Linked DNA regions of Bombyx mori. The protein of the gene in region 1 interacts with the protein of each later gene in a pairwise test. Links are inferred from orthologs where the notes say so. Each region holds a gene or a part of one and is shown on either strand. Other genes may lie near its edges.

Region 1 (2,360 bases):
ATACAACTGCTCTATGGCAAACCAGAGGGCCGCAGAAGTCGTGACAGACCCAAACTCCGATGGTTGGATGGCGTGGAGCGCGACCTCAAAGTTATCAGTTTCAGGAACTGGAAGGAGAAAGCCCTGAACAGAGCAGTCTGGAGAGACATACTGGACCAGGCTAAGGCTCACCCAAGGATGATGATAAAATGTTAAGTTAGGGGAAATTTGAACTTGGTCCTAAAATTCCTTGGGCCCGCAGTCTGCTCCCAACACTTGCAGATCGTGAAGTCCCACATGACCACTAGGTGCGGTGACCCCGTAGGAGGTTTGGCACCCGGCACGAACAAAAAGGGAAAATTTCAACTCTGTGGTTAATTTTTTTTAAGTATGTAAACTATATTATATCAACACTCCAGGTGTAAAAAAAACCTACTCAGTTATCATGTAAAATAAATAGGAAATAATTAAACAATTCACCTTTCTCAGGATAAGTCCATCATCAAAATCTGGGGGCTGTCCAGGCTTTTTGGTATATACCCTGATAAGAGACAGATATTCCCAGAGTATCTCTAGCAGATAATCCAAATTCAGTTTCATATTACAACTGGAATAAAATACAAAACGAATAAATATTTTTTGTGATTTACTAGTAGGCCCAGCAGTTATTCTGCTCTTAATATACAAAATTCTGGAAACGAATCACAGCATCACCTACAATATCCAATTAACGGAGGGGCGAGTTTGATTAAAATCATAAGTGAATTGTAAATTTAAACCATAGAGAGAGACCTACATAAATAAAATAAAAAGAGAACTGAATAAGTTTAAAGTCGTTCACGAGATCAGTGACAAAGAGATAGATACAATGATAAAAGATACAAGAAATAGATACAAACCACATGAATTTAAAAAGTCTTAATTAAATTTTGAATATGAACCTTGAATATTTTATACAATTTGGAGATAAAACAAATTATTAAGTTCTCTCAATCGTTTCTAGTTGCTAACTTTGTCTTCTTATTGGTATTTTGGTTGAATAAGAACTAAATCTAAGCAAAGTACAGCTCACCTAACGACTACAGAATGCGGTTGTCTCGCTATCCTGTCGACTTCCTGGATGGAGATCTGATCTATCTTGTTGTAGACGTAGAGGCAGGGCAGGTACACTCTGTTCGCGAGTATAACATCTATGAGCTCGTCCGGTGTGCAGTCTTCACGGAACAGAACCTGCGTTTTTTTTTTATTAAAACTGCGGGTACTAAATAATATTCTAAAAACACAAATTTTGTACTACACCTAACTACTACGAAGGACATTATTGCGTAATAAAATGAAATGGGCTAAGAATTTTTAAAAAATAGTCCAATTGTGATTAGTAGAGCGTACATTGCGTGCCCATATGAATAGGTACCACCAGCTTTTGTCTTATACAGTAAATTAGCTGGCAGCCGTCCACTGATTTGTCAGGTTACCAATATTTACCCCTCCTTTGAACACATTTCACATAATAGTATTTGCCTAGTTTCAAAATTGCAACAGCTGTCAAGAGTGGCATACATATTACTGGCATAAGCACACTCTTCAATATGTAAATACATCAAATCCAAGTGAAACCAGTTTCAGTAGGAAAACAGGGGATCAAACTTTGATGCCCGTATTTAGTCAGTGTTTAGTAACTATTGAAACTATTCTCAGTCAGAGTCTGAACTTTTATTAAAGATTCAGGGTTTAGTTTGTATTTGTTCTTGTGTCCTGGGTTTCCAATATGCATAATCAAGACTGGGCTATGTTGAATATCGAATGGAGGTCTAATGGTCTTATACCTAGGTTTGCCTTTGTAGGTAATGACTATATACTACATACCTCAGCATTAAATATCTTGTATTCATGTAAGATCATTTGCACCATTTTCTCATCAATTTTAGTTAGTTGACAAGTTGAGTTAAATGATAAGCCACCACCTTTTTTCACCTGTAAGTTAATGAATTATTTTTGAGGTAATTATAGTTTCTGACAAATTTTTATGTTATTACTACTGTTTATGTGGACAATGACTCATAATTTTAACTCCAGTTTGAAAATTACAATTAGAGTTGTGTTCAAATTAACTAGACTTAGATTTCACATCTTGAACTTACCTAATTTCTACATTATATTGTCATAGAACTAATAAACCCGAGACTAGGGATTGAATTAATCTTCGGAGTCATATACTTCCAATTTTTGGGTAAACATAAAAATTCTAGAAATATCAAAACTGACAAATTTCTTAACATAAAAATTACAAATTAACAACTGAATAAAAAACTGAACTTTTAAAAATACTCTTTGAATGTACAGAAATAATAATATACATCTATAGTAAGTGAATTCTAGAC
Region 2 (4,381 bases), on another chromosome or scaffold:
GATGGCGACTCGGGTGATGAAAACAGTGATGATGATAATGGTCAAGATTATGATAACGAAAAAAAATTACAAATACCAGCTTCGCTTCAACTGAACGAAGACCTGGCAACAGCTCTAGTTTTGACTTAATAGAAGGAATATCTATTTTACCCCAAAATTAAATTATTATAATTATTAACCTATATTTTTTGTTGATGTTCTAATAAATATATAAATAAATACATATGTTGATTTTAATAATTTAATTGCATTATGATGCAGAGTAAATAAGGTTTTTGCACGTGAGTGTACCATGCGCAAACTTACCCCCACTACGTCAACAAATGCTCAAGAAGTTTGCCGGCTATTATAACAAATCACAATGACAATTCTTTGGAAGCAGTTTTAATAAATACATATCAGAGTGAATATTTTAAGAATTTTTTTTTTCATCCCTAAGTTGTATGATAGAGAATAATAATTATGGGTGACTTCTAGTGAGTTTTATTCCAATTTTTTACATATTATTGTCTAAGAGCTTTTAGAATCTTATTTCTGAATTTTATATACAACTAGTGATCCGCCCTCGCTTCGCTTCGGAAACTGTAATTTATTATTTATATCTCCACTATTTAATGGATGTTATTATACATATAAACCTTCCTCTTCAATCACTCTATCTATTAAAAAAAAACGCATCAAAATCCATTGCGTAGTTTTAAAGATTTAAGCATACATAGGGACAGACAGATATAGGGACAGAGAAAGCGACTTTGTTTTATACTATGTAGTGATACCAAACTGATATGGGTATGATAAGACTTAATAATAATAAAACATTTATTTCAGAAAAAATCCATAAAATAATAATAATTAATGAATAAGAATTAATATTCCAATAGCTAGCCAATGAACCTTAAAAATGATAAATATTAAGTTACCAGTTCTGCCTCTTCATCTGCCTTTTGTTTGGCTAGTATCCTTTCTTCACGCTCTTTCTTAACTTTATCCCAAGTCTCATTAAGCCACTCTTGTCCAGCTGACACTAATGTGAATACCATGACCATTCCCAAGTTTTCTTTACCCTGAAACACATTAATGGAAAACAAGGAAATAAGCCATAAATAATCAAGCTTAGACGTTCTAAAGTAAACGACAGAAATTAAAAGGTCTAAGATGAATCTAGTGGTTTTGTTTTTTTCAATTTTTTTTTATTCAATATTATTATGATTTTAGTGCCTAAAAGCAATTTCATTTCTTTTGATTTCTGTTGTTTGTGAGCTCTTATTCAGTATGTATTTCTGTGGTTAAATTTATATCTGCCTGCAGAATTTGAGTTCTAGTATAGTCAGACTGCTTATACATTCTTATCCTTAATGACACAACAACAATAATATAGTAAAATAAATTTTATTAATATTTTTGCTTCTTGATTTTTTCAGTCATTATCTATCTAAATTTAAGGTCCAAGATTCGATTTACCACAAATTGAATTTATTATGCACATATAAACTTGTAATAAAAGGACTTTTTTTTTACTTTTCACTTTAATTTTCAAAATGTTATCAATTCCATTTACATAAAACAAAACATATATGTCATTACTAAAAATTAAATGAAAGATTTTACAGTATCAGTAGAGCTGGGGATTTTCCTAAATCGAGATCAATTCAAACAAAAATTCATATTTTCAATCCAATATCAATTATTTGAAATTGTGTTAAAACAGATTAACAATTATTCACAATTATTGTACCATTTACACAGTACTACAATATTACTATATTACTATCAAAACCATGTTTTACAAGTACTGCTTCCTGTACAAGTAATAACTATGGGCAACTGGTTGAAAGCATGCCGCTGGTTCTGTAATACTTAACATACTTTGATAATATGATTTTCGTCATAGTCGTCCATGAGCACTAAACATAAAAAATTTTGGAAATCATAAAATAATATATTTGAGATTAGAATTTTAATGTGATATACATTTTTATCAAGTCTCAAAAATTTAATACAGTAGGTAATCAATGTTAATCTGTTTGTCAAAAACTAAAAATGAAGACTTATTTATTAGATATTAAATAATAATGTATGTATGTACTTTATTATATGTAGACTTGACAAACATAAAATATCTAGGTTTTAAATCATGCACACCAACAAAAACTGATAATGTTCATTGTAAAATAACAATTCAATTAAATATATACAAATTATGTATATACTATCTTTACCTGTTCAGCAAGATGTGTGAGAAGTTCCTCTTTATCAACAATATTGTCGAAATTCTCCTCATTGTCAATTTCAATAATGGGTAATTCATCAGGATACTTTGATGTGTAAGTAAATACTAGATGGCAGGCCAACCCCTCTCCATCATCAAACCCCTCTGACTTTATAGGTATACTAAATTTGTGAAATGGTTTTGTTTCTATCACTACAAAATAAAATAACATGATCATTAATTAATAAAAGTGAAGCATGCATGATTAACTTTTTCCATAAAACTGTTTTAAATATGCATTGCTTTTAAATAAAAGAATCGGTACACAGTTTTGGACTTAAATCTTGCTTCTTTAATTTCAACAAATATAAACATAAAATTTTATTCCTTTTTTCAAATGATCTAACCTGCCATATCGCCGAAATAAATAGAATCTAATGCTTCCACTTCACTAGTTTGTTCGTAATTGTAATCCATGATTTAGGTCACAATTATTAATGAGTATGTATTTTTAATTTACAAATTTTTCACGTTTTTACTTCAAACAATTTTAAAGTTTACTTTACTCTTTAAATTGAGAATGGTTGAAAAGAAGACATAGAGTATATTAATGAAATAAAAGACATTTAAGAAGTCTTGCCACGTTTCGCTAATCTGTGTTTAATTTTTTCTACCTCACTTAAATTACTGAGACTATATTTCATTCCATATCATCTGATTTCCTTTCATTTCATCCCATTTGATTAATGTCTCGAATTGATCATCTTCATTTCATTTCATTTCACTCCATATTATCACTTTTCATAAAAATAAGAATATGTATATAAATTAAAATAAGACATGACTTAAAGGTCTTAGTTACCAGGTCATGAAATCCCTTAAAAAAATACCTCACCTATAATAATGAGATTATTTATTTCATCCCATATCATTTCATATCATCCCAGTTGATTAATGTCTCAAAGTAATCATCTTCATTTCATTTCCTTTCACTCCATATTATCACGTTTCAAATATGAATATAAAATAAGTCATGACATGGAGGTCTTAGTTACCAGGTCACAAAATCCTTTAAAAAAACCTTACCTATAGTTACCTTAGCTACCTCTTCCTCACCACCTCCCTATCGTCAGCATAATAACAGAAACACAGACAATACACACTAACCCTGTTTTCCAATTATAGCACTAGAGCGCATTATGCGGCATAATGCTCAACGTTGATTGTTCCAACTACAGCAACGCTTCCCACAATCGAGCACTCTCAAGCATAATTCGGCATTGTGCGCCACTGAGTCGCATTATGTCGCATTATGCTATGTAATTGGAAAACAGGGTAAATGATTTAAAATATGGTGGTTAGAACCTTCCATAAATTTTAAATATATCAAGTTCCATAACTTACAAAATAAGACACAGAACCTGCTTGTTTCAAGCAATGCGATTAATTCGTATTCAAATTTCACAGTTTCTTTACTACATAAACTTCTACCAAATAAAATAAAAGTTTATTAACGAATTCCTCAACCAATAATTATTTTATGTACCTACTGAAAATCTTTATCCGTTTTTATTGGCCTTACTGTGATGTCTAGTCTGGCGAATATTACGGTTTTACATAACAATAAAACCGATATTATGTGCCGAGAAGGAAAACATACAGCATTGTATTATGAAGAAGCAGTGTGTACTTAGCTTAAATTCCTTGTCTATGTCCAACCATTGACAGTCAATTTAGTTCCATCTTTAGCCGCTAGGTGCTGCCAGCAAGTATAAAGGAAGCGCAGCCATCTTTGATCTTCATAGTCTTCACCAGGAAGAACTTCCTGCAATGCTGTATGTTTTCCTTCTCGGCTCATAATATCGGTTTTATTGTTATGTAAAACCGTAATATTGATGTGCCTTTGGAAAACATACAGCATTGTATTATGAAGACGTGTTTGTTATCTGCTGGTGAAATTATTAAGCACAACGCTATGATGAAATAGGTAAAGCCATAATAAAATTATGAAGCGCAATGTAATGTTCATAATTTATATAATTATTAAATCGAAAAAAAACAGCTGTTAACTTTCATGTTAACTCAATAATTAAAAAATATTTTTATGTTTGTAATAAACATTTTATCTTGTATATACATCATGTAGGAGTAAATGTTTTGAAAAAATAATCG

What was found. The genes of interacting proteins can lie anywhere in the genome.
Region 2: the proteins of developmentally-regulated GTP-binding protein 2 (region 1) and RWD domain-containing protein 1 interact in binary tests that used the Homo sapiens proteins (3 or more experiments, as listed by UniProt). The link is inferred for Bombyx mori from reciprocal best matches to the Homo sapiens genes DRG2 and RWDD1.

The regions. Positions count from the first base shown.
Region 1 is NC_085123.1:13,400,559-13,402,918, reverse strand, and holds part of developmentally-regulated GTP-binding protein 2, read right to left. Parts: intron 1,954-2,360; coding exon 1,846-1,953; intron 1,210-1,845; coding exon 1,052-1,209; intron 587-1,051; coding exon 460-586; intron 1-459. UniProt on the Homo sapiens protein: Catalyzes the conversion of GTP to GDP through hydrolysis of the gamma-phosphate bond in GTP. When hydroxylated at C-3 of 'Lys-21' by JMJD7, may bind to RNA and play a role in translation.
Region 2 is NC_085115.1:12,171,011-12,175,391, reverse strand, and holds the start of RWD domain-containing protein 1, read right to left. Parts: upstream 2,833-4,381; 5' UTR 2,687-2,832; coding exon 2,617-2,686; intron 2,423-2,616; coding exon 2,220-2,422; intron 1,065-2,219; coding exon 921-1,064; intron 1-920. UniProt on the Homo sapiens protein: Protects DRG2 from proteolytic degradation.